Linked DNA regions of Astyanax mexicanus. The main gene of each other region encodes a partner of the protein of the gene in region 2 in a complex. Links are inferred from orthologs where the notes say so. Each region holds a gene or a part of one and is shown on either strand. Other genes may lie near its edges. The genes, in order: wash1, washc4, washc5 and washc3.

What was found.
Region 1: washc4 (region 2) and wash1 share a complex: the UniProt entries of both Homo sapiens proteins name them as parts of the WASH core complex. The link is inferred for Astyanax mexicanus from reciprocal best matches to the Homo sapiens genes WASHC4 and WASHC1.
Region 3: washc4 (region 2) and washc5 share a complex: the UniProt entries of both Homo sapiens proteins name them as parts of the WASH core complex. The link is inferred for Astyanax mexicanus from reciprocal best matches to the Homo sapiens genes WASHC4 and WASHC5.
Region 4: washc4 (region 2) and washc3 share a complex: the UniProt entries of both Homo sapiens proteins name them as parts of the WASH core complex. The link is inferred for Astyanax mexicanus from reciprocal best matches to the Homo sapiens genes WASHC4 and WASHC3.

What each region holds. Positions count from the first base shown.
Region 1 is NC_064416.1:14,044,510-14,051,339, forward strand, and holds the start of wash1 (WASH complex subunit 1), read left to right. Parts: upstream 1-3,818; 5' UTR 3,819-3,935; coding exon 3,936-3,943; intron 3,944-4,500; coding exon 4,501-4,641; intron 4,642-6,696; coding exon 6,697-6,808; intron 6,809-6,830. UniProt on the Homo sapiens protein: Acts as a component of the WASH core complex that functions as a nucleation-promoting factor (NPF) at the surface of endosomes, where it recruits and activates the Arp2/3 complex to induce actin polymerization, playing a key role in the fission of tubules that serve as transport intermediates during endosome sorting.
Region 2 is NC_064409.1:54,355,179-54,362,076, forward strand, and holds the start of washc4 (WASH complex subunit 4), read left to right. Parts: upstream 1-3,883; 5' UTR 3,884-4,057; coding exon 4,058-4,118; intron 4,119-5,092; coding exon 5,093-5,232; intron 5,233-5,339; coding exon 5,340-5,393; intron 5,394-6,369; coding exon 6,370-6,435; intron 6,436-6,580; coding exon 6,581-6,626; intron 6,627-6,814; coding exon 6,815-6,882; intron 6,883-6,898. UniProt on the Homo sapiens protein: Acts as a component of the WASH core complex that functions as a nucleation-promoting factor (NPF) at the surface of endosomes, where it recruits and activates the Arp2/3 complex to induce actin polymerization, playing a key role in the fission of tubules that serve as transport intermediates during endosome sorting.
Region 3 is NC_064408.1:112,355,481-112,362,530, reverse strand, and holds the start of washc5 (WASH complex subunit 5), read left to right. Parts: upstream 1-4,050; 5' UTR 4,051-4,129; intron 4,130-5,784; 5' UTR 5,785-5,844; coding exon 5,845-6,030; intron 6,031-7,050. Other genes in the region: zinc fingers and homeoboxes protein 1, read left to right, coding at 1-545. UniProt on the Homo sapiens protein: Acts as a component of the WASH core complex that functions as a nucleation-promoting factor (NPF) at the surface of endosomes, where it recruits and activates the Arp2/3 complex to induce actin polymerization, playing a key role in the fission of tubules that serve as transport intermediates during endosome sorting.
Region 4 is NC_064409.1:37,361,044-37,368,498, reverse strand, and holds the start of washc3 (WASH complex subunit 3), read left to right. Parts: upstream 1-4,450; 5' UTR 4,451-4,588; coding exon 4,589-4,639; intron 4,640-4,778; coding exon 4,779-4,877; intron 4,878-6,425; coding exon 6,426-6,491; intron 6,492-7,455. Other genes in the region: cwf19l1 (CWF19-like protein 1), read left to right, coding at 595-714, 1,750-1,847, 1,948-2,092. UniProt on the Homo sapiens protein: Acts as a component of the WASH core complex that functions as a nucleation-promoting factor (NPF) at the surface of endosomes, where it recruits and activates the Arp2/3 complex to induce actin polymerization, playing a key role in the fission of tubules that serve as transport intermediates during endosome sorting.

The DNA.
Region 1 (6,830 bases), on a different chromosome or scaffold from region 2:
GAAGATGTCAAAACAGTGGAATAAAAGAGGAGGAGCCCTGTCTGAAGTGACGTCAGGACGCACAGCATGGCACGCAAAAAAAGATTTAAACTTCAGTTTTGAAACATAAACAAGCAGCAGAACAAACAAACCTTTGAACATATTAGAGATAATAAATGAAAATATCATAGAATCAAATTAATTATTAATAATGATAAGATGATTAGACCATACTTAAAAAAAAACTATATGTGGAATAGGTACTGAAGCTGCAAACATCCCACTTCACAAGTTACTCAAAGGAATTTCATTCATACAAAGGGTATGTTTTGGTATCATGTTCCCACAGGAACACCTACCCCCCCCCCCCCCCCCCCCCCCCCCACGAGTCAGGCTAGTGTTAAAAGTTTGACTCAACAGCAATCCATCAATATTATCAAATAAATAATGTTCCATACTCATGCATTAGGATTCATGGACTCACCCACTCTGACTTGCAACCGCCACTGCAGAATTGTGGAGGGAGCGTCACAGTGTTGTTGATCAATCAGAAACAAGACATTTGTGTGTCATGAATATTCATTCCCACCCACTCCTCTACTGAACTAAATCAGTCTAAAACAGGAGCACCGGAGCACTTTTTTTTCATAAATATCGGTTCGCAGAGCATTCGCAGGGGATTTCATCCCCTCCCTCTGTTCCTGGGGGCAAGTTGTGGAGCAATTATTTATTATTGTCCATTGTGATGGGGAGGTGAAATTAGATTTTATTTTATTTTATGTTAGAATGTTATTTTACCACTCACTTACCATCTGATTGATATTGGTTCAATGACACAGTCAAATCATATACAATACTCCAACACTCAGGACTGAGGCTTGCTCACATGTTTTTTTGGGACTGACAAAGTGAGTGACTGACACAGTTAATGAGAGCGTGTCACAGAAAACATACTTATTGTTTTGTCTCTAAAACTCAGTTATGAATCTGATTAATTATTTAAAACATATAAACTGATTTCCTTAAAAAAAGCAAAGTACGTTAAGCGAACTCAAAAAATTAGAACTTAAGTAACACCCTGATCTGAGTACAAACCTACACAATGTGCCAGTAGGTTTATATGTTTCTCTACCCTAGGGAGTCTTATTCTTTTATTAATAATGCTCTACAGGGAGGTGTGTGTGTATTTGTACATCTGTGTAAGAAATGTAAAGTAGCTAAATGCATTCTTACAGGCTATGTGTCCACAAACATTTAAACATTAAACAAAGTTCCCAGACAGGCATTAAACCTAGTCGTAAACTATATTTTGGAAAATCTCTATTTAAACTGCTATGTAGTCCAAGGCTAGACTTAATCCCTGTTTGGGAAACTGCCCTTATAGTGAATGCAAGTTTGTTCTCTTTCAGAAACTGTGCTTTATTAAACATTTATTTCTCTGCCTAAATTTTGTAAAGCCCAGCTGAATGTGCCCAAGGCATTAGTGCAGTCATAGCTCAAATCAGCTTCTTTATTCAGTGATATTTGTTAGACATTCTCCTAACATTTACCCTACAGCTGTCTTTCAGCTATCCTCAGGCCTAGCTCCTTAGCAAAAACACTGAATTTTAAAGCAAGGTATACAAAACTTTTGACAGGTGAGAAAACTCATATTGTGCTGATCATCTTCAAAAAAGTTATTTAGTACTACCATTGGATTAACATGTTTATGTTTCTGTTTTTTATTGTTTTTATTGTTTTTAATCTGTTATTTTATTTTCATTAGTTACTAAGTATTTATCTGCCAAAAGCCCTGGCAATATAATTAGCTGGTAATGGGAAGTGCACTAAAGTAACCTGTAATTTTTATTAATATTTACCTTTTTGTATAGTATCACTATAAACCTTAGCTTTGGTTGGATTTGTTCCCTTTTACAGACAGTTGACTATATAGAAAATTCTATATAGTGAATAGTGAAGAAGTCAATGAGTGACCCATTCCAAACACAGCTCTTGAGTTTTTTTTTTTTTTTACAGTAGTTTAGTTCATTTGAAACTGTGAAAAAAAAAAGTCTCAGAACCACAGCAATATTTCTCTTCTGCTTTCTCTCTCAGGACTTTCAAAACACCATCTGTGTTGCTCATCCAAGCTGAGTTATATTAGTTCACATCAACTATAGATAAAAGAGGGCGCCAGAATTAGGCTAACACTGACACACTTCACCGTTTCAGCTATATGGACAGCTTCTCTTAAGTGGGTATTCAGTACGTGAATGTATATTCCATATATACTAAATACTATGTATGGTATATTCCATGACAATGAAGAATTATTAAACTGTTTCTTTTTTCAATGATTTAGATTGGCCTATAAGGTCACCATGCCCTATGCCAAGTATCGGGTAGAAGACTATAGACCCCAGGTTCTCTTAAGTGGTGGAAAACCTTTACCTTTAGAATTCTTGCACACATAAAAAAGGAATTCCTTAAGGTTTTCACAGTGAACATCAGTTTAAAATTGGCTGGATGAAAACAGTAAAGAGAATAGACAGTACAATCTCCATAGAAATGCACTGAATTGAATGTGGTGCTCTAGAGCAGTCGCATCATGACCCTTCAAGGTCACCATGATCAATGCTGACCATTCTCTAGGGTGCTATAAATCCATCAGAAACATCTGGAACAAGCTTCACAGCTAATTAGGGATAGATGATACTGGTCATTTTCTGTTCATCCTTTTGGAAAATAAATTTAGAAATGCAAACTATGTATACGTTTTTTATACATTTATACATAAACACATTTAAAATGTAGGAAAAATATACATAAATATTTTTTTTCTTAATGCACTGCAATTGCTTGGTAATAAAAAATATATATGAAATGTATTTCATATATATATATATATATATATATATATATATATATATATATATATATATATATATATATATATATATATATATATATATATAGAAAATCCACATATTTCTCTATGAATAATAAAACTAGTAAGATTTTCTTGCACACAAAGCATGGTAATTCTTTATGATTTTTAAAATGGAAAATTATATTATATATTAATGTGGACACTAAATTAAAAATTATATTTTAGAACTTAAAGTTAAATAGCTGTCACAGATTGTTAAGTAAAATAGCCAGAGTGCTCCTATAAGTGCAGGGTGGAAGGAAAAGTAGTTCCTAACCTGCAAATTTATTTAAAAAAAATATCTCGTCAGAATTCTGTGATTGACTGTAGTAAAATCCTCATAGCAATGCTAGCTACATCATATTAACTGTAAAACCTATAAAGCTATAATATAACAGTGAACAATGAAATAGTTGGGAGACATAAAATAAATAAGTCTAAAATAAATAAAATTCCAACAAATAATATATAAATAAAAAAATAAAAACAAAGGGGTTAGTATAGATTATATTTATTCATATAATTCATATGTATTTGTATTACATTTATTTAAAATGTATGTTGTTTATACATTTCTTCATTAAGATAATCTATAATAAACTAGAATATTCAAAGTAAACTAATGTATATTTTCTTAAATATTTTCTTAGAAATGTTTTATTGCATCTTAGGACTGAAAAGTGAAGACTGTTTATGTATAGATTTTGTAATTTTGGGCACTAAGGTATTATCTAAATTATGTTTGATTAGTTTAATAAGAACCGTAGGAATATTTTGCCACCTTGTTATAGATTTTAATAGAGCAATTCAAACTGTATTTGGTATTAAAGTAACCTAAATTACACATATTAACAATTCCATCTATTAGATGAACGCGGTACTAGCTTGTGTCTACAAACTTTTGGCCAGATAACCTACAGCAGTATCCTTCCGCCGCTGCTCATGTGACTAGTCGGTGCGGAAGTTTTGATAACAGAGCTCATTTCAGTGCTGTGTTTATAGGCGATGCGAGGATTTTGTCGCTTTAGCTGCTTTAACTGCGTTATAAATGGTCAGGTAAGGATGTCCTTCTTTATTTTTTACTGTTTTGGGTTGCTTAACTAAGTATTATAACGTATGGTGCCTTAGTGAGGTAAAAGAGCGCCGTTTCTGGCCTGTTTACGAAGCAGCGGTTCGAATTTTCCGTTCCACCTTAAATAACAGGAGAGCTTCGGTTAAAGCATTGTAGAATCTGAATAGACGCTGATATGCATCTGTTGCACTTTTTAAGGTGGAACGGAGCAATTGATAATGAAGCCAAGTTTAGCCGTGTAGCTTATTGGATATGATTTAAGAATAAACGAAATCATCTGACACTTTCTCCACACAGGAAATACGCCTATTAATGTGCGCAGTGTTGAGTTTTATATGGCTAATATTTGTTTATTAAATTTTCTAATAAATTGTTTTGCCCTGACAGTGTAAACAGTGTTTACCCCTAGGCAGTGAATTGCAAGAGAATATAGCAATAGAGATATTCATGTTCACACATGGGATGATTCAGTGTGTAATGCTTTTTTGTTTTCTTCTGTGTGTGTTTGTGTGTGTGTGTGTGTGTGTGTGTGTGTGTGTAGGATGACTCAGAAGTACCACTTGGAGGGACAGGTGTATTCTGTCCCAGTGATCCAGCAGGACTTGAGGAGGGAAGAGGCTGTGCACCAGATCACTGATGCTCTGCAATACCTGGAAAATATTTCAACAGACATCTTCACCAGGTATAGGGCTAGGAGATTCATGTAATTAATTTGATTAATTACATTTTATTGTGATTGCAAAATGGGATAATGGAGATTGTACATTCTCCAGAGAGAATCTCAGTAGAAAGAATTGTGCTTCTGTCAGAAACCTGTAAAGAACTCTTTTATGTTGCAGTGATTTTAATATTTTACACTTTTCCTAGTGTGAGATACAACAAGGTTTTGTTTGCATTGTGTTTAATATAAAAGTTGCATGTAAGCTTGAAGGAGTGTGCTTACATAATTAGATTGTGAGTTTATGTCTCATTCCTTTCTTTGTCTGCTTTAGTAACTGTATTCTATTTAAAATACCCTCAGGTATGTATTGAAATGGGTGCATGCAAGTTCTGCAAGTGGGTTACAGACTGTTACAGACTACATTTAAATTTGCAGTCTAACTTTGGCTGTTGGATGTTAAAAACTGTCTGGGTATTATAATACGACTGTAAATGATACAGTAGTTTTAAATAGAAGTTACATAAAATTTTATATTCCTATGATGTAAACATGTTATACCACTGAAAGATAGGAATGATGTATTTATTGTAAAACGTAAGTCATATATCATGATTTATTAAGGATATGTACACAGGCCTGTTACTGAATATTTTATATCTAAATATCTTTAGCTGAATTCAGCAATTGTAGTGTATTCATGTAATTCATAAAAACACATTTGTTTTAGTAAGGCCAGTCAAATTGAATTCTCTTCAATGTTTAGAATATATTTAGAGAGGGCAGAGTGATAATGGCTTTTAAATCCCAAATCCCATTAACTTCCATTCAGAATGCAAAGGTCAAAATCAAAATGTAAATGAGGCAACCCATTTAATGTGGCCTTTTAATTTATGCTAAATTCTGGTAATAGAAAATATACAAATGCAGATATTGTAAAGGCTGTTATTGTACAAAAATAAACAGCATGCTATTTTTGAGTTTGATTAAGTTGTACAGGCATATATATATATTTACAATCTTGTGTAAGGAGTAAAGCTTCAAATGAGATTTGAAGAAACTAAACAAAAGCTATAAAACAGGCCTACACCTCACATTGATGGCCGGGCAGATTTTTTATCCCGGACATCTGTTTGTTTTTACTCACAATTACACACAATTATTGTAATGATATTGGTGTTGAAGGCCACTAATAATGCATGTGACTTTGATGGGGTGAAAATGCTGAGATGTGATTGAACAAGCCATTAACCTGTTTACCACCCTGTTATCTACAAGGTTTGATTTATTTTGAAAAAAATAGACTTTAACAGCAAATAAGCATAATAAAAGTTACATGTTTGTGCACATGTCTAAATAGTGATTTTGTGACTTGTGGTTGGTACGAAATATTTTTTAAAGATTATACTTTAAATGTGAGTAAGCAACTCATCGTTAAAGTTTTACTCTCAGATGCAGCTACTCTTTGCGCAGGCCTGAGGGACAGATGGAGAAAGATGGAGATAAAGGAGGTGGAGATAGAGGGCAAGTGTGGATAAACAGGGGAATGACCTATGCATTTTATGCATATTATTCATGTGTGTGCAGCTGTGTGTGTTGAGAGGATGTTGTTTGTTCTCTGAGTGTGTGTGCGTGTGAGTGAGTGTGAGAGAGTGCTCAGATATGCTAATATCAGCTCCAGTAGCAGGGACCGAAAAACCATCCATAGCGTTACCATGACAACATAGTGGAAGAGAGAGATGAGGGAACATGTTCGTTTGGTGTGTGTGTGTGTAGGGGGTAGGGTGGTGGGGGGTAACCGCTGGTTTTCTGGGTCAGCTCCATTAGGATGTACTCTCATTCTTGTCTTTTTTCCTTTTTCCCTCATTTCAGTAATTTTTTTTCCTTTTCTAGACAACAGGGAGAACCCGAGGCTACAGAGTGTGTGTTGAGTACAGCTGACACACACTGAATGAGCACTGCAAGCATGACTGCACTCCGCACACTTTTGGCCATATCATGTTGTAGGGAGAATTAGGAGCACCCCGTGTTTACATTCTGTAGAAACAGAGAGTCACAGTGAAGTCTTTGATTTTGCAGGGTGTCGCAGAGTGTGGAAAAGAATCGCACTTACCTCCAGGCCGTCACAGACCGTATCAAACTGGCTCAAGCACGAGTCCACAAGATCAAAGGAAGCAAAAAAGCCACCAAGGTGATCTACACACCTCACACGT
Region 2 (6,898 bases):
TTTTACCAAATTGAAACCTCTGGAATATAATCAGGAGGAAGATTGATGATGACATACTATCAAACCAAGCAGAACTGCTTAAAGTTTTGGCACCAGAAGTGGCATAAAGTTATCCAAAACAGTGTGTAAGACCGGTGGAGAAATGCATGAAAACTGTGATTAAAAAAAACAGGGTTACTCCACCACATACTGATTTTAGAACTTCTAAAACTTACTGAATATGAACTTCATATGAGCAATAATTGAAGCTATGCATCTTTTTTTCATTTCCTGCAAATAAATGCTCTAAATGACAATATTTTTATTTGAAATTTGGGATAAATGCTGCCTGTCGTTTATAGCAAGACAACAATAAACAATCTATGAATAGCAAAATCAGAGAAACTGATTTAGAAAATGAAGTGTTCTCTTCATTTTTTTCCAGAGCTGTATATACACTATAGAGTGTATATTAGAGATGCACCAAAAGAACAGTTTTGTCCGAAACATGTTTCTTCATAGGTTTTCATTGGTTTGTCTATTATTTTAACAATTGCCTAAATGAAATAGCCTTAATATATATTGTCTTGTTTGTTGGTTTGTTGTTCAAAGAAACAGCAATTGCAAACCTACAATCACAAATATGGAATGAGCATGAGTAATTTTTAATATATAATTAGATTGTGCTTATTTGGGTTTTTCATTTATTCAGCCAAACACAAAGTTCATTTTTGTTGATGTCCGACAAATTAATTTGGTTATATATTCTTCATGTTGACATACAAATATCAAAAACAAAGTAAATAATCTGAAGTCAATTAAAGTCAAGTAATATACAAGTAAAAATATATAAATCCATATAATATAAATCTAAATAAAAAGTTAGGCTGTGTAAATCATGTACATAATTGTATATAACAACTTCATATCAAATTGACATGACCACTTACCTAAAGAAAAAAGACCAGCAAAACGAGACAAGAATAAAAAGATAACTCCTTCCTTTCCTCATGCTACTCCACCAGCCTGCTCCTTCTCCTGACAACAACAGGTCAGCGTGTTTTAAACATCTGCTGTAGGGGTTTGTTATGGCAAATAAGAATTTAACACACTTTATAAAAGAACTAAACTTATTCATACAAACACTCTAACAACAGAGAGCAAATTAACAAATTAGAATGACAAAAATATTCCATAGAAAGTCCTACCTACGTGACAGCCGTCCCTCCACGACCCGCAGCTGAGCGGACTGGCAGAAATGCTGAATATGTTGAATGCCTCAGACAGACACGAGAGGGTGAGTGGTAATTATGGTATAGATTAAGTGTAAGTGCCTAAATTCACCACTTGGCGGACACAGAGAACTCAGTGTGGACGTCCTCCACAGGGTTGCCAGGTCAAAAAAAATAAATACAAGCACAGGCAAAAACCAGAACCAGTCATCAAAAGGCCATTAACCTATCCTACATGTGTCTGCCTTTGGATTACTCCAGGATCAGAAGGTGGTCATTGTATCTTCCACAGTCTGCGAAGTATCAAAGCTTTTTGTTGTCTTTGCTACTAAGGACAATTATTTGTTAGCTTAGCTTAAAGCATATTTTAGCTAAAAAGTATACAACATTGTCAAGACATTGTCTACTTTTGCTACTTTGAGACTTCCTTGGCGGGCGGCACGGTGGCGCAGTGGGTAGCACTTCCGCCTCCCAGCAAGACGGCCTGGGTTCGATTCCCGGGCGGGGGGACCCTGGTCTTTCTGTGTGGAGTTTGCACGTTCTCCCCGTGTCTGCGTGGGTTTCCTCCGGGTTCTCCGGTTTCCTCCCACAGTCCAAAGACGGCACGTTCAGGCTAATTGGAACTTGATTGAAATTGCCCCTTAGGTGTGAGTGTGTGAGTGAATGTGTCTGTGTGTCTGTCTCTGTCTGTCTGCCCTGCGATGGATTGGCGGCCTGTCCAGGGTGTATCCTGCCTTCCGCCCGATGCCTGCTGGGATAGGCAGCATCTATGGGGCCTAGATGTAAGATTAAGGCCCATTTCGGAAGTACAACTTAGTCCCAGTACAAGGCGTGTACAAGGCCCTGGCCAACCAGAATCCATCTAGCCCTTATTCCATCCATGTGAATCCTACATGAGCATGCCGGCTGGGTAGTATATTCTTTTGTTTAAGTTTAGTGGTTTCCTAGCTGGGCACGTTTTTAAATCAAATGCAACATGCCTGTTGGTCAGCAAGCTTACCAGTTTATGGGAATGTTCAGCAGGGATTACTTTTTAAGGAAGAGAGCACTAAGTGTGGACACCAAAAAAAATACAACTTAGCTACCTGACAACGGCCTAACATTACTTCTTTCTCTGTTCATGGTTGTAGGTTTTTGCAAACATTCTGTTTCTGTTTGAATCTTTATTTTCCATCGCTAACGCTTTGAAACAATATTAGACTCCAGCGTCATAACTAATTTATTTGTGCACATTGGTTTTTTTTTTATTGTGTTGATTGAACATTTATTTAAAGGTATGGTTTTGTATGATTTATATTAAAATTAGAATTTTTAAAATATGTATATATTGTTTTATTCTATCCCTTAAGCCTGTACTACCGTTTTAAGGTTGTTTTTTTCATCATCATAATCGTAATGTAACCAAAAATAACATTTACTCAAAGTTCCTTAGGGATCACAAACATTTTAAGGGTTAATCAGCAACAGTGTTAGGAATGAAAGTAAAAATGACAAGTAAATGTAACTATTCAGCTTTATCAGATGGTGTTTAAACAAATCTAGTGGATGTTGAACTTTTACTTTAAAAAACACTGCGAGCTTTAGCCCGGAAATTCAAGAATACTTGAGCAAATCATGGGACCGGAGAGCAGAGTGCTGTATTTACGCCGCTGTCCACCAGAGTTGCCAGGTTTGCGGTTTTACCGCTCACTTTGGTTTGTTGGGAAATCCAGTCTCTGGTAAAATTCAGGGGAGACGGGTGCGTTTTTTTGGGCTACTTTTAAAATTACCAAAAAATAAAAAAACAAAAACGAAAAAATATATATTGCTAATTATGTTACTATTAAATGTTCTTGATTGGGATATAAAATTGTTTTAAATTAACTTATTCAGACTTGCCAACCCAGCTGGCATTTTAACGTTGAATAAATGTTGAATCAATGTTGATCAACGTATATGTTAGGGTTGAATCAACGTTGTTTTTGAAAAGTGAATCAACGTTGATATAGCAACATTGTGTCAGCGTCATACATTCAACCTTAAACCATATAAACCATAGCTCACAAAGATAAGAAAATCCTATGGTTAACAAAGTGTTAACAATAAACTCACATCACTGCAGTAAAGCTGATGTGACCAACCAATCTGATTCAACATCTGATCTCAAAAACACTAAAACAGTAAAACTAATAGAACATGAACATAGGATTGCAAAACACTTTTCATTCCTCCATCCAATCGTTTTTAGAAATTGTATGGTGATGAAATGTAAAATGCTGATTCAAAAGGCAGAAGGTTGAGGACATGTTGATTCAACGTTAAAATGTCACCGTTAGCACAACCATTGAACATTAAATGTTGATTCAACGTTGAAACAACATCAACATACATTACTTCAGTCATTTCAACTTGAAAGTGCCAGTTGGGAAGTCTCCCGGAAGTTCCGCAACGGCTCCCTGGCTCCCAGTTTTTTAGTGTGGGTGGGCAGTGTTTTTGTCCTCCTGGATGGAATACATTCAGGAGCATGGCTCCCATGAAACCTGGCCCTGAAATATTTTTTTGCAAATTGGGATGTCTGCTAATGAAATGTTAACATACTATTAATGATTTTAAGATACCAATACTGATAATAACTGATAAAATACGAAGTTGTACACTTATACTTGTTTTGCTTCAAATGTGTGAGAGTAATATATTTTTGGCTAGTTTAAGATTCTGAAGGGCAGGTTTTAGACTAACTTTGGACTGGATATTTTTTTGGTGGACCTGGCAACCCTGCTGCCCTGCTACTTTCTCTACTATCACTCTGCGGAGGGAGGGCAGCTGTCTGCTGGAGAACGTCTCTGTGCTAGCTCTCTCTTCACAGGATGGCGGTGGAGTCGATCTCAGCAGACTGGGAGTTTGATCGCTTTGACGATGGCTCTCAGAGTAAGTGTCGCCTCTGTTTAGCTGAAACATCGGTCAGACGTTAGCTCGATTAGCTGTTAGTGGGGTTAGCCACCAGGCTAGCAGCATATCTAACGTAGCTAGGTTAGCTAAGCTAGGTGGCTAGCTGTGTTTTGGTCAGATGATCAGGAGCTCCTGCCAAGCTGTAGCTTTAGTGATCAGTCTCTCTGAACACTGCCTGGGTGTGTGACCCGGGGATCAGCACATTTTAAACATCCCTGTATTACTATCAACTGTAAGACTAGGACAGATATGCTAACTAGCTAATTAATGCAATAGATATTCAGTGTGGTTCACATAAGCACTGAGCTAACGTCTCGTGATCTGCTGAACTAACGAGCCTATCAATTCAGCGATTCGTCGCCAAGTTCTGTAAATTGTCTCCTTTTTTAGTCATCTTTCAATCACATATGTAGTTAGATGACTAGCCTGTTGACTGCATAACGTAAGCTAGCTAACCCCATGTTCACCCATTCAGTCATATGACCAAAACGACAAGGAGCAAGAGTCCATTGACTCCTCTATTAGAGACGTAACTACGTTACTGTGGTTTTAAGAAAAAGTGCTGTTTTAAGGAAGTGTTGGAATGAAAACGCCCCTGCACGATGATATATGTGTAGCTAACTAACTTACATTTGAAATTGTCAGTATACCACTTGCTGAAGTCAGCATGTTAAGCATTATTTTTAGCATTGTAAACAGTGCTGCTGGGTATCGAGCTACTAACTGTCAGTGTCACTGACTTGAACTGTCAGTGCCAGTTTTCTGAGACTAGCTAGGTAAACGAATTAAACGGCCACAGGGTGTCTGTACTGCCTGACTGTAAATATTAAGACAAATATTTAAAAAGTGTAGTGCAGTGAAAAGAGGGGGAGGGTTGAGGGGTTAATGCGAAAATGTCTAATGATTGTTGTATTGCAGTAAAAATGCAATTTTGCCTTTTGATTACATTCTAGAAATTCATACTGAAGTGCAGCTAAAAAACTACACAAAGTTCTTGGAAGAGTATTCATCTCAACTCAAAGCTATTGAAGAAGCCCTGGATGACTCCATTGGTGATGTCTGGGATTTCACTCTGGATCCAATAGCTTTGCAGGTGCTGTATGGTTTGTTTAAACTGGTGATGTTTAAGTTGATACTCTTTTGTTTCTTTTTACCTTCCTAGACACTAAATGCATCTCTTTATATTTTGTCTGATTACAGCTCATTCCCTATGAACAGTCCTCACTTTTGGAGTTGATTAAGACAGAAAACAAGGTGAGTCTCTAATTATGGGACATCTAATTATATAGAAATGTGTATTTTTTTCTTTTCTGTACTTTATTCTGTAGGATTGGAGAGACTAGTCAACCAAAACAACCGGACTAAGACTTACTAGAGGAGGTGGTCTCGGTCCTGTTCCAAACAGTTTAAAAATATTTGTTTGTAGTGAGAACCTTATCCGGTCTCGATCCCACCCAACTGTCAAAATACTCCTTTTATTTGAGCTAAACAACTGTTCAGGTGCAGCAATAACCTGATATATTAGCCAAATAATTACCATAGCTGTGAACAAATGCTGTCTTTGCTGCTGCTTCATGCTACATTGTTTACACCCTAAACACTGAAAGTGCAGCGTTTACTGATCACGTCCACGCAGCACTGTTTACTATGGGGCATCTCATTGAAAATACTGCGTTTGAATTTGTAACAGCAATATTTTCTGCATTCAAAGATTTAACAGCTTCACGCTGCACAGATATATTCATGCTGGTCTGGAACACAGAACTTTCTTCCTGTATGTAGTTTCTTGCTCCTGCACCAGACAGCTCTGACCAATGGTTGGTGCACATTTTGGTGCATTTAGGTTTAGGCCTGTGTGAAAACACTCAGGTTAACAAACTCATCAACTGATTTGGACAAGAGAAACCAAGTACAGGTGCAAAAACACCTGAGGTTCTGCATACTTGCGCTTGTAGTGCTTATACCATTGCGTGAGAGAATTAATTCCAAAGGGCGTTTTCTGAACTGAAATCTATTCAGCAGTGATCATTAATGTACCTAACATAGTCACAGCTGGGAGGCAGTATTGAACTGGTGATGTTTCTGTAAGATTTCCACAGATCAGAAACACTTAAAACACACATAGTCTAACAAAGAAGATGACTTGTTGGCTGTAGCAGATATCATGTCATGTAATACTTTTTCAGTATGAATGATGTTGTCTTTTGTTTGTTACTGTTCTTTTTTGCAGGTCCTTAATAAAGTCATTACAGTTTATGCAGCTCTCTGCAGTGAAGTCAAGAAATTGAAATATGAGGTATGTGACAGTTTTACATTGTAAAGAGATGTACTATATAAAAATTGCTCATTATATGATAAACAATAATGTACTGAAAAAAAATTAGGATGAAGGAAATGTAAATGTCTTTGCATTTAAAATTGTAATGTTCATTACCTTTTAGGCTGAAACAAAGTTCTATAATGGTTTGCTGTACTACGGTGAAGGAGGTAGTTGTTGATTCCATTTTATCCTTTAAAACATCTCTTATAGGATTTAGTAACTACTAATTTCTGTTTTGACCAAGAGATCTGTAATTTAGCAGCACATAATGCATTACGTCCTATGGTCCAAGTTCTTGCTCATTTGTGAATCCTGTCTTGTTTGAAACTTTATGAATGATGTTTTTTATTGACAGTGTCAGACACCAGTGTGGTGGAGGGCGAATGCCAAGTTCAAATGGGACGCTTCATCTCCTTTCTGCAGGTTGTTTTTATGTTTG
Region 3 (7,050 bases), on a different chromosome or scaffold from region 2:
GCTACGCCTGGAAGAATGGGAACCTTAAATGGTACTTCTATTATCAGAGTGGAAATGTGGAAGGCATGAACGGAAACAAAGGCAGAAAACGGAGGATCCGGAACCGTGGTTGGGGACGGTCTCGCAGCAGAAAAGCCAAGAAGTCCACAAACTTGGAGAAGCCCCCGCCAATAAAGTTCAAGACAGGAAAAGATATTTTAAAGGAATATTACTTGAAGCACAAATTCTTGAATGAGCAGGATCTGGATGAGCTGGTAGCCAAGTCTAACATGAGCTACGAGCAGGTCCGGGAGTGGTTTGCAGAGGTTTGCCGGAAGGTGGACATGGGCGCTGACCCGTTTGATGACAACGTAAACAACGAGCAGGAAGAGGAGGAGTCGCAGGGGGAGAATGAAATAGTGGGTGAGGAGCAAGGACCTTCAGCTCCAGGTGAGGAAGAGGGTGAGGAAGATGAGGAGGAGGAGGATGATGAGACCGATGACAGTGAATCTTGGGAGCCCCCCCAAAGTGTTAGAAAGACTTTGTCTGGGTCTGAGGATCAGTAATTTTTTTCTTTCTTTTTTTTCTTTCTTTAGTCGACAGCTAATTTTTGTGTGTGAAAACGGCACTTAGAAAGGTTAGTAAAGAAGAAGGAGAACATTGACTATGAAGATCCATGTACAATTTGCTGATTAATCCTGCTTGCATCACTTTTGCATTTTCCCCTCATCTTCTCATTCAACTTTCCTGAGCTTAGTCTATGTTTTCTGAGCTTAAACGGAGCTTTGAGGTTTCATCACAAACTTTCACAGACAAAAAAAATCTGTGTGCTCTGTTCAAATGTGAACAGAGTTACACCCAACATGAAGAATCCTGGATCAGAAACAGTGGCCTGGATTGTTTTTTATCTTTGAGTGCAATTTGAATTAAATTTTGTGGTGGAAGAAGAGATTGTAATCATGCCAAGTGGTTTTAGAGGAGGCGGGCTGAGTTGATTTTGGTTTTGTATTTCCCAGCTCCTCCCACTGCCCCAAGGAGGAATCATGGTGCCAAAGTTGTACTGTTCCTGAATGTTAACAGTTCCCTGCTTATGAAAGGAGTAAGCAAATACATAGTGTATGTATTCTCACCAAAAGAGACATATATATACACACATACGATTGGGCACTTTGTATTGAATAGACTTTTGTAGAAGAACAAATTGCCTTTTGAGCCATTTAATGGCATCTAGTGATAAAAATGATGAACATCAAAAGTTCACTGTCTTTTATTCTTGATAGACAACGATATCCACCACCATCAACTGTTGACTGACATACCCGTCTATTAAATCAGCACAATTAATAAGGAGCTGTGACTTGAAGCACCAGCTGCTGCTCTGGCATTATGACTGGCACAGCATGGGTCAAATTTGCCAGGAATTTTTTTTTTGGTCGTACGAGATGACTGCATATGACAGCACAAGACTGTTACCAGTTAGCACACTGTTACCAGAGCCTGGACAAAAAGAGAGGGATGGACTGTGTGTTTCAGCTCTCACTGTTTCAGCTGGACTGTTTTAAAAACCTGTTTTTCTTCAATTTGTGAAAAGGCATTGGTTGGGTTTTTCCCTGTTTGCCGATTTTTACAAAACGGTAATGTGTTTGTAATTCATGTTGATCAAATGTCCCAGAGGCTTAACCCACATTTTCATCAGCTTAGCAGTGCTTCACACCATAAATAATCATTCTAACCTATTTTTTAGGCTACCCAAAAAGACCAACTTCTCAAATTATTTATCAGTTTATTAAAATTGGGGTTTTCTTATTACTAACACACACAAGTTTCAGTTTTTTTTTAAATACGGTAGCTAAAAATTGTGCGAATTTGCTTTTCTGTGAGAAGAGATTGACATTGGTGGATAATTTATTTACCATGTAGCATGGTATATATGGTATTTGATTGTGTTTTTTATTGAAATTTTAACTATTATAATTATTTCCCTCCCCCACAAACACGCAGCACTATTCCTTAATATTTTTTAAACCGCCCCCTTTGGGTCACAAAGTCGTAGTGCATGTTTGAGCTGTTGAGACGATGGCAAAAAGAGCGCTCATTTTGTACATACATTTTGCTGTTGTATTTTATAAGTAGTTTTATGCGTTTTTATAAGTTTGTATTTATGATGACAAATCTCACCTTGACCCAAGTGGATTGCTCATACAGTGACTATTTTTTTGTGTGATCTGAGCTGATTATACTAGTCAGATTTTAAAGAAGTTTTGTTCTAAACTCTTGTTGAGCATTTTTTGCTTAGCTTGCGATCCTCTGGAGTTGTCCCTGTGATTCTTCACCTTTTATTGTGACTGTAAACAACAGATAAAAAGTACATGATCATAAGTATTGTCTTAAAATAACACATCCGAATCATCTGTCCTTTCAGTAGCTAACCTACCATAGCAAAAAATCAGTTTAGGCAAAGTTGAAGATCAAGATTTCTTCTGGGTTTGAAAGTGATTCATATGCTAAGTTTGCTTTTTCCTATGAATGTGTTTTACCAAGTGCAACTGTATGTCTCCTGTTTCTTCCACCTTTCACTAGTATTGTTAACTGCAGTGCACTTATTAAATCTTGCGTAGAATCACTGTAAGGCTCAGTAACACTCTTTTTCAGATAATGGGAATACGACCAGGGGACCATCATGGAGGTGACTTTGCGAATCCTACTGAGCCTTAAATTTGAATTTGTTCACACCGCTGTGGTGGCTAAAGCTTTACTCCCCAGAGCCATAGGCCTTGTGCAATGCTTTTTAATTTAAAAAAAGGAGAAAAAAACTGTTTTAATAGGCTGTGGCTTGATTGATTTAGACAGAAATTATATTTTGTACTTGTTTGAAGACAACAATAAATTTAGATGAAAACTAGTGGATGTGGTCTTCTTTCTCTTTAACAATCTTACTGTTGCTGCGAGGTAAAACAACTTGTATCTCCTGTTTGTAAGTAAGTTTTGAGCTTTTTGATTAGTCAAATTTTCATGGGGCATTAATTAAGAAAAAAAAGTTGACAGTAAAAACAGGTTATTTTGGGTTGTCAGATTCTGGGACAGGGTTTATAGTTATATATATATGTAGTGTATAATATATAGTATATATTATACAGTGAAGTGTATTTCCTAGTACACACTATATTCACTTAATAATCTTGTTCCCACGACTTAATTATCTCTTTAATTATCTTGTGGCCATGCCCAAATAAGTCGTCCCAACAATTTAATAATCTTGTTTTCTTGTCTTAATTATCTTGTGGCCACACCTTTATAAGTCGTCCCCACAACTTAACTGTTTGTGACTTTATTATCTTGTCCCCACACCTTAATAAGTCGTCATGACAACTTAATGATCTAGTTTCCAAAACAGAATTATCCTGTTCCCATGACGTAATTATCTTGTGCCAACACCTAAATAAACTGTCAATAAAACTTTAAACTATCAATTTAATGCTCACTAATTCCTATTAATAAGTCTTCCCCACAATGTAAAAAAAATCATTAAAAAAATGATAATAAAGACATTGGAAAAGGATAATTAAGTTGTGGGAATTAGATAATTAAGTTGTGGTGACAACTTATTAAGGCATGGCCACAAGATAATTAAAGCGTGGAAACAAGGTTATAAAGGTGAGGCCATGAAATTATTAAGGCGTGAAAATTAGCTTATTAAACTATAGGAACTAGATTATTAAATTGTGGGAACAAGACTATTAAGGTGCGGGAACAAGAAAATAAAGTAGTGGAAAGACTTAGTAAGGTAAGGGGATTGTGGATGCCAAACACTTTCACACTACTACAGTGTGAAAAATGAAGTACAGAAAACTACAGAAATAAAGAAAAATTGATGTTTAACATACGTGGCTTGTACTGTGTATGTATATTAGTATACAGTGCCCACATATTTTAATGTTTATTAATTATTTTTAATAAAAATATTTTCTTTCCATTAAAAAGCTGTGGAATTTTAGGGACTTTTATTTTAGATTGGCTAAATAACCGCCATTTAGCAGCAGCATCCGCGCGGCGTAGGTAACCAATGGCAGGCGCCGATTTGATCATGTGACACTCATGTGATGTGTAAACAGTAGGATACAGATGAGGAGCTGATCTGATCTGAGAGGAGGTGAGTGGAGTTAATTAGAGATAAATTTAGTATTTTACTCTGTTACAGAGCGCAGGAGCGCAGCGGATTAAACCTACAGATACTCTACAGCACACAGACACAGCGAGACTCCCTGTTTAACCAGCTTAATACCGGATTTAGCCTTTTAGAAATGAAGTAGCAGCTGAATCAGTGTCAATTAATGTAAACTAGGCTAGGCTAAGCTATGGGGCTTGATCTGTAATTTATCACTGACAATTTATTACTGACTACCATTACTATTATATTACCTATAACTATAATTTGCACATTATTATATGAGGTACTGAATAAAGCTATGTAATACTCTGTTTAAACACAATGAGAGATTTTATACTGCAGTTAAGGAAACGTTACTTACACTAGTTTTTTAATGAATATGCACCAGTTGTTGTGAAGATAACTGATGTCAGCCATATAGACAGTGCAAGTACGCAGTTATATAATAATATGTGTACATCATAATCTGTTTCCCATCACTACGTGCAATATTACCACTTATTTAGCTACTTTTTGTTATTTACAGTACCATTCAAAAGTTTGGATACGCCTTCTCATTCAATGTATTATTATTATTATTATTATTATTATTATTATTTTTTTTTACTTTATTTAATTTGTTTCCTACATTGTGGATTAAACGTTTACAAGAAATTTCAGCATGTGTTCCTGTATAGCTTTAATGTCGTTTTTAGTTTACAATTTACAATGTAAGAAAAAAGGCCTAAAAATAAAGAAACACATTGAATGAGAAGAGGTGTGTCCAAACTTTTGACTGGCACTGTAACGTTACTTACTGTCAACCTATGTGCAATATCACTGCTCACATTGCTCACCACAACATATACACACGGGGTAGCCGTATTTCTTCCTCTGTATGATAATAATGAGTTTCACATTCAGGCTTAGTAATCAAGAGCAGAGAGAGGGGAGCTGATTAGAGAAGAAGTGTACGGGAGCTTAATTGTAGCTGTGGAGCTGTAAAGAGTTGTATGCTGCACCGAGCATAAAGTCCCATAGAGAAGAAAATCATCACAGTTTAAACTTCATGTAATTTGGTATGGTTTCCTGTGGTCTGGTCACTGAAAGAGAACAATACTGAAACTAACTAAACCCCGAACTAAACAATATTGGCAAGATCCTACTCCTACCATTTATAATCTGATTAGTAGCATTTAAGCATATAGAAACACAGAAAGACTAGTTTTTTCTTCTTTTACCCTGTTCTTCAATGGTCAGGACCTGAAAGGACCGCCACAGAGCATCTATTATTTGGGTGGTGGGTCTTTATTCTCAGCACTGCAGTGATTCTGACTTCAACTAATTGAAAGTTGCATTGGACATTTGGTGATGCTGTTTGAAGTGTTAGTGTGTGTTGTGCTGATAAAAGTGTATCAGACACAGCAGTGCTGCTGGAGTTTTTAACCATTGTGTCAATTCATTGCATATATTATTATTTTGCTTTCACCCTGATCTTCAATGGTCAGGACCCCACAGGAGAGAACCACCGCAGAGCAGCCGTTATTTGGGTGTTGGGTCATTATTCTCAGCGCTGCAGTGATTCTAACTCCAGCTATTGAAAGATGCAACTAAATTGATTGAGTTGCATTTGCATGTGGATGTATTTTTACATTTAGGAGAGGAATGGATCTCTGAGGACCTACTCTGACTGCTCGCTGTGAGTGAAGGCTGCCACCATGGTGGACTTTCTTGCGGAGAATAACCTCTGTGGACAGGCCATCCTGAGGATTGTGTCTCGGGGACACGCCATCATCGCAGAACTGCTGCGCCTCTCTGAGTTCATCCCCGCAGTCTTTCGGCTCAAAGACAAGACTGACCAACAGAAGTATGGAGACATCATCTGTGACTTCAGCTATTTCAAGGTAGTATCTTTGATTTGGTTTTGAATCTTATGGGTGGGCTTCTGTACCACAGCTTACAGGAGCTGGATGATAAGTCAGTGTGGTTTTAACCCCCATTGCAGAGTCCAATGCAGTTTTGGTGAATTACTCCAGCACATGATTCTTAAGGTGTAATAGGAATGTAATAATGTTGTTTTAATGACAAATGCATTTAAAATATAAGTTGCATTGGTTTGTATTGAAAAATACCTTTTTAATGAAGTGATTACTAAAATATTATTTATAATATAACTGGGTTATTACTTGTATACATTGAATATATTCAGCTCTGGAAAAAAATAAGAGTTTTTACTATTTATAGGTATATGTTTGAGTAAAATAAACATTGTTGTTTTATTCTATTAGCTACAGACAACATTTCTCCCAAATTGTAAATAAGAATATTGTAATTTAGGGCATTTATTTGCAGAAAATGAGAAATGTCTAACATAACAAAAAAGATTCAGATCAAAGAAACAAGTTCATATTCATAAAGTTTTAAGAGTTCAAAAATCAGTATTTGGTGGAATAATCACAGTTTGGTTTTTAATCACAGTTTTCATGCATCTTGGCATGTTCTCCTCCACCAGTCTTACACACTGCTTTTGGATAACTTTATGCCACTCCTGGTGCAAAACTTCAAGCAGTTCAGCTTGCCTTGATGGCTTGTGATCATCCAGCTTCCTCTTGATTATATTCCAGAGGATTTCAATTTGGTAAAATCGAAGAAACTCATCATTTTTAAGTGGTCTCTTATTTTTTTCCAGAGCTGTATATATAAAGTATCTTTATGCACATTAATATATAAAATTACTAGACAGCTGAAGATAATTTTTAAATGTTTACATTTCTAAAATGTAATTAGATTAACATTAAGTATAAGACTAAAACTGGCAAAATATGATAAATATGACAAAAACGTGTTTATTTTATATAGCTTTTGTTTATATATTTTTTACATGTATTATATCTACCCCATACCATTGTTAAATTTATTATATT
Region 4 (7,455 bases), about 17 Mb from region 2:
GTTATTGGTTTAGGTTAACAATGAAATGCTTGCGGATTGTGATATTGTGATGTTTTCTGAGACAGTAATCATACAGTGAAAATCACATCTCATACCGTTGCAACCCTAGGAGTAGCCTGCATTTGTGGTTGCTGCCCAAACGGGCGGCCTCTTGAGACCCAGGGTCAGTCCAGCAGCACCACATAAATTATGATTTTGGGCCTGGCAGAACTTATCTGCAGTATGAGGGAGATTTTAAAAGGCTCTATTCTTCCCCATGTGAAGGCTCACATACATTCAATCATCAGTTTAAGTCTGAGCAGACAAGCAGTCTGTCCTGATGAGCAATCCAGTCTGAGGGACTCCAAGCTCCCAATGATGACCATCATCATCATCATCATCAGATTTAACATAGTATTATGAGTAGAAATAATGATTAGCCTGAACAGGATTTACAAAGCCTATTATTCTGTAGCTAAGCCCCATGTTTTCCAAAGTGCCTGTCTTTTAATCTTAGCATGTGTTTACTTTAGAAACACAATAGTCGACTATAGTCTGAAAGTTTACCAAGTGTACCAACTGTAATTCCCACCCATGTCACCCTCTGGATGGTAGGTGGTGCCTGTGCCGATGGAGAAGTGCAGTACGGAGGACATTAAGGAAGCCTTCGTGGTGCAGGCTCAGGAGCAGCAGATGGAACTGATGGAAATTCCAGAGCACACAGACCTCAAACAGGTACATTTAGCCACTTACTTACAGAAAAGTGAGGAGTAAAGGTCATTTAAGAATAATTTTATTGCCTTTTCCATAATTTCCTAACATGTATTCCAAGGTTTTCTGAAACTTAAGTTGAATCAGGGTTCACACTAGTGCTGGGTGGTATACTGGTTCATCTGTTATACCAGAGGGGAAATTAAAACCGGTATGCATTTTTAATATACCGCCATACCACAAGAGGCGCTGTGGAGTGCTGTGTAAAACAGTACAGCCAAAAAAGCACACTGGCACAGCTCGCTAACTAACGTTAGCCAGTTAGCATAACAAGCTTATACACTGGAGTAATGTGGAGCCAAACGCTACGTCCTGCCTGGAGAAAAATGCAAACAGCACTTTATCAGAGGAGTTACTGATGCTGTTTCGTAATGTATGAGTGTTTTTATTTGAGTAAAATACAAAACCAATAGCAATTATTAATTCAGAAAAAAGACAATTGGAATAACTCAATCGATCCACAGCTTGGCGAAAAGTTCCTCTTGTCCCCCAGATGAGCCCAGAATCGGTCCTGGGTACAGAGTCATTCGTTTAGTACAAGTGACAAAACTCTCTAAAACCCTGGATACGAGGTGTAAAAAAAACTCAAGAGCAGTAACTATAGCCCTTTAAATGTATACATACTGTAGCTTGAATGATAGTTTTAATGCTTTTTTATGTATAGGGCAAAGCATTTGTGAAACCCAAACCCTTCCAGTCCTCTCACTTTAATTAAAACATTCTCTGCTCATTAGCTCTTGGAAAAGTAATAAAAAAAGAAATTTATTAACAAACAAGCCACATTTCATTAGTATCAATGCAGAATTTCAGCATTTGAGAAGGGCAAGTATAAACATGCTGTATCCTGTTTTGTATTGGTCTTGGTTGTTAGTATTAAGTCAGGCTAAAATAATGATCAAAAGAAATTTTGAATAATGAGTAAAAGTGTTACATTTGTTTTTATTAATTTTTGGAAGTAAAAAGTTTAAATCTGGCTTTTTTCCTTGCTCTGTTTTAAAGATTGCTCCACCAGGAACTCCTTACTTCTATGTGGAACTGGACACAGGAGAGAAACTGTTTTACCGAATCAAGAAGAACTTTCCATTGCAGTTTGGCAGGTAAACAATCCAATTTGAAAGAGTCTTTGTACACAAATAAACCTCGCACATTAATTTTTGAGCAAAGCGAGTTTATGAATATGTGCTATATTTACACCAGGGAAGTGTTGGCAAGCGAGGCAGTGATGAACATTCCGACGCGGTCAGACTGGAGAGATTGTAAAAGCAGCAAGGAAGAGGAAGAGGCTCTGGCAAAAAAGGTCCGCTCTGGTTTTGAGGCTTTTGACTTCACCATGGATGACTGAGAATCTTGCCAGTAACCAACACATTTCTCAATGCACACAAACACACTTGAAAATGACCCATTTGGTCTGATTTTTTTTTCCAAACACAGATGCAGAATTTCAGTACATATTTTCATTTTTTTATGTTTTTAAACTGATGTCATCCCAGCATTTTGCTCTTAATATTTGAACTGACCAGAGATGGATTCTGTTGAAAATATTACAGAAAGAAGTTTTTCTTGACTATTGTTTTTAAAGGAATTTGTGGAAGAACCTGTTCATAGTCATTGTATAGTCAAGAATATCCTCTTTTTACCAAGTGTTTGTTTATTAAAATACTTTTTGAACAGTGGACACTGAGTTTGATGTTTGCTTGGAATCTGTGTTTTTAGAAATACTTCTTAAAGAATTGAGTCATCAGGATGTTGTGAATGTTTTGTACAACACGCTCAACATCAGCAAATGACATTTAGAACAAAACAAATATAAAAAGGCAAGATGTCCCAGGTGATCATAGTATTCTGTCTCAGGCACACCTTAGACATGCTAAAGAGCATCGCATGATTAAAGGTGAAACACAATCTGGAAAAAATTGCCATTCTATAGTCATCAGTAAACACTAGTCTAGACAACCACTAGATTTGTGACTTTTATGGCTAGCAAATGCGACTTAAACCGGTTTCTGATTTATGCATCTCATTGTAAAACATAATTCAAACCAAATCTGTGCCAAATAACGGACTGTTTATTAAAGTACATACACATACCTGGAATGAACTTCACTTATGAAGCAACTTATAGCCAAATATTAAGCGATGGAAAGATAGAAAGAGAGAAACAGAGGGAAATCCTCCCAATGTTACTTACAATCAGCCATTTAGCTTTCGCAGTTTTAAAAAGGCTTGGCCGAGACTCACCTATGTGCAATATCTCTCTCTTTACCTGTTCCTTGCTGCTCCAACATGAGCTTTCGCTGTTTACTCACTGGCTCCATCATGATAAACCTACATGTCTACAGCTATCGGCATTAGAAGTGCCAAGTAATGAAATACAAATACTTTGTTACCTTACTTAAGTAGAAATATTGGTTATCTATACTTTACTGGAGTAATTTGTTTTTTTTTTTTCAGACAACTATTTACTTCTACTCCTTATATTTAAAAAAAGCCTCATTACTCCTATTTTCTTTTAGCTTGTTTTCATTCTGGCTTCTCCTTGTTTAAAAAAAACTCTGTCCAGATAAATCTCTCCATCCATACAGAGTGAATTTGATTATGGTTGGATGAGAAGTATAAACATATAACCTTCCGACACCCTATCGGATTATATGTGATCCATCACCACTGCACACGTCACACTCCAGCAAGAACATAACAGACGTATGTAGCCTAATATGAAGAGGATCTCTGGCAGCGGCTCAAGAGAACTTGAGCGAAATGTTTGTGACACTGTCGGTTCTAGGGGCATTGGCCCCAGGTAAAAAAAAAACTGATTGGCCCCCAGAAGGGCCCCTGTCCTGTCACTCATCTGTCCATTGATCAAGAGGGCCAATCAAATATTAGTGGATGCATTTCAATGTCCAAACACTAGAGGCGCCAATTAGTCTAATAAGAATGTCCAGTGTAATACAAGCTTATATAGAAGAGACGTTTTAATGTTTGGACCTGACAGTATTTGTTCAAAAGTAAAAAGAATTAAAAAAAGAATAAAATGGGTTTGATCATATGCTTTGTGTATGAGAATATTTTCTCTATATACAAAAAAATGCATGTAAAATATTAAAAAATGCAGCTCATTTTGTGCCAGAAGTTTCACCCAAAAATATAAAATTTGCGATCAAATTTGCAAAATATATGCATTTAGAAGCAAGAAACAATAACTGCAAAGAAGATAAAGCAACCACGTATATATAAAAATATATATTTGGTATATATTTTTCTGTTTTGAATGAGCAACATAAACATTTTCCTGTTAATTCTTAAATTCCTTTTGATGATGAAAATCCGTCTCAAAAGCAGCTGGCTATCCAGAAAAAAACATACCTTATGCTGGTTAATAGAATAACAAGCTAACTTCCCATCTTAGAATATTTTATCACTGGATGGTTAGTATTTTTAGAAGGCATTTTGATGGCAGATTTTGATATTTATTTTATCTTATTTTATTGCGCAAAATGAACACTGAACATTTTACTGTTTAAACTTACATAAAGTGCGTTCAAGTGTTTGAACATGGCGTGACTGGTGAAATAGTACTTGTCCCCTCCGTGAATATTGTGACCCCCTTGCTCAGGAAAATCCTAGATTTGGTTTGAGAAAACGCTTCCAACAGGCCTGTAAACCAGGACTCTTAATTTGGAGTGGAGCTCTCTGCAGGCGGAAGTGTCGCGGGTCATACTAAAGTCACATGAGAGACTTGAGGAACGATGGTTTCAGAATACTGAACTGCAGAGCGGAATTTATACCGGCTTAAGATCATTTATATTAGCTTTATAAAACAGTACAAGATCAGATTAATATGGACGAGGACGGGTTACCTATAGTGGGCTCGGGAGTGGATCTGACCAAGGTGAGGAGGGTCTGTGTGTCTGCGCTGTTACAGCTGGAGCTGCGGGCTTGTTTACTCTCTGAGTAGCAGATCAGAGAGCTGTCATTTCAGTCTCTCTGCTGAAACCTGTGTGTGTCTATGTGTTTGTGTGTGTGTTCAGGTTCCTGCAATTCAGCAAAGAAGAATCGTCGCTTTCCTCAATCAGTTTATTGTTCACACGGTTCGGTTCCTCAACCGGTTCTCATCTGTCTGTGAAGAGGTGGGTTAACATTCTGAAATAGCTGGTTACGTTACCCTATTTCCATATTTTGCATTTACTTTTTTTTTATTCAATTGCTTTACGATGTGTTGATAATTTAGCAAAATCCCCCAAAAGAAAAGGACCCAGACCCAGACCGTTTACAGTAATGATCTCCTAAAAACGTTAATCTAGACCTGTCTCTCTCAGTGCCCTGGTCTTGGAGGCTCCCTGCCCTGCACATTTTAGTGTGTTTACTTCTTTAATTCACCCCTACAATGCTGAAAGGGCGGTAAATAAGCTTAGCTAAATCAGGTATGTTAAGAAAAAGGTGCAGGGTAGAGGTTTGTGGAACACTCCCACATAAGTATAACATTTTCTTGATAATTTTGGGAAGATATAGGCTGTTCATGTCTTGGTAAGAGGTGTTGTAGAAAAGAAAATGAAAGGTGGGCTACTCCCACCTCTCGTCCGGGGTACAACTCCCCTGCGTGTTCGTTTGATAGAGAGAGTCAGACAGATGGAGTGAAGTTGAAAGCAAACCAGGTATTTATTACAAAGTACTGAATATCCAGGAGAACCCACACATGAAAGACCGTCTAACAGCCGTCCCAGCATAAGTTCTGACCCCCCTTCTGATCTGACTCCACGTTTATACCCCAAAATGACGTAAAGCCTGTTGATGAGGCGTTGTTAAAATCATCTCATGTTAGCATGCACGTGTTAGCACTGAAGTTTCCCAGGTTTGATCACACCACCAGTGTTTGACCTTGACTGTCTCCAATCGGACAGTGTGGCATTGTCTTCATGACTGGACCGAGTCCGGTAAAAACAGTGTGGTATTGTTTTAATAATTACAAAGTGTCGTCCTCCCCATGTGCGTGCTCCCATCCCGCTTTGGGAGATGAAAAACAACGCACACACAGAGTGTAAGGCTGCACTGTTCGTACCCGAGTCTCTTTTGTATCAATTCAGTTCGTACAAAGTGCACTTGGCTGATGATTGATTGTCAGTCAGAAACATGCAGTAAACTAAATGCTTCAGGCATAAGCTGTATGTGCCCAACAATTGGTTCTATATGTTATTTGTTACTGTGTTAGCAGCGTGTGGTTAGTCCGCCATATAATAGATCCTATGTGTTAATATACGCCTTATATATCATGTTGGTTAATTTGTCATAATAAGGTCTGTGTTAGTCACATGCCTGATCAAACAATGTTTTACTATATGTGTAAAGGATATATTGTGATTATTGATTAATCTTTTATATAAATGCGTGTAAAATATACTGTGAGTGATAAAATGATCAAATATGGTGTAAGTATTGGTTAATGCATATAAAATACAAGGTTTCACACGATGATTATGTAATTTTAGATACCAAGATAAGTAATCATGATTGTGAGATGTTTGTCAATACATTCAAGGTAAAACAGGGTTTCTTCGTAAGATTTCCCACAGAGGTAAACTTCCAAAATAAGCTTCTAATTTGTCTAATATTGTGGCAAATGAGATGAGAAGTGAATTTGTCAGATCATCTTACTAACTAGTGTGTATTTTTTATTGTAGAAACTCTCAACAATATCATTACGGATTCAGCAGATTGAAACAACACTCAGCATTTTGGAAGCAAAGGTAAAACATTTCTAAAATATTTTGTAACTCAGACAATTGCATACAGATTCTGCAGGCGATTATATGTGACATTTCGCACTTTTTTACAAGTTAACTCAGTTCTCTTAGCACTAACATCACTCTTCTCATTATGTCTAAACAGTCTGTTGAGAAAGTTTAAGTGCTTGTTCCTTTTAATGTAAATGAAAAACTGTTGATGCCTTTTCATTACTCTTGTCTACAACATCTACACATTTTTAGAATTTTAAACTTCACCTTGTTCACCTTGAGCTAGAGATAGACTTGCTGTTAACTACGCATTTGTGTGTGAACTGCATGTAGGGGATACAGATATAATACAGATATTATAATACAGTGTCTGCAATAACTTATATCTGTATTAGAGGTGGTAACCACAGGGCATCTCACAATATTAGCACGATACCTTTAATGATAATATGATGATAATATTATGATACTGTGATTCTGAGATACTCAATATATACCAAGACAAATCTCTACGATACTTCTCAGCACCTGTGCTACTGTAGACGATAAGCAATAGCAGAAATAAATTATATATAGATGTCAGTTTCACAGACTTTAACAACCAGTATTCATCATTGCAAGTTTACCTTATTTATTTTATTAGAACCATCATGTGGATTAATGAAGCAGTAAATTTAATAAGTAAGTCAAATTGGGGGCTGAGTCCAGGGAGTTCAGAGTGCCTATGTTTTAGTAAATATATTGATATTTGATCCCAAATACAGATACTGTCTCACAAACGAAAACAATACAGTATATTGCTATATTGATATTTTGTCTGACTCCTAATCTATTTGTTGTTTTGCGACTGCACAAAGGAAAAATAATACTCATCTAAACAGGTGCTGAGAGATCAGGATTATTTAAAAAAAAAAAAACTGCAACAGACTGTTATGTCTCTGCCTTTTTAGGCTTTGTTCTCTGGTCTGCCCTCTAG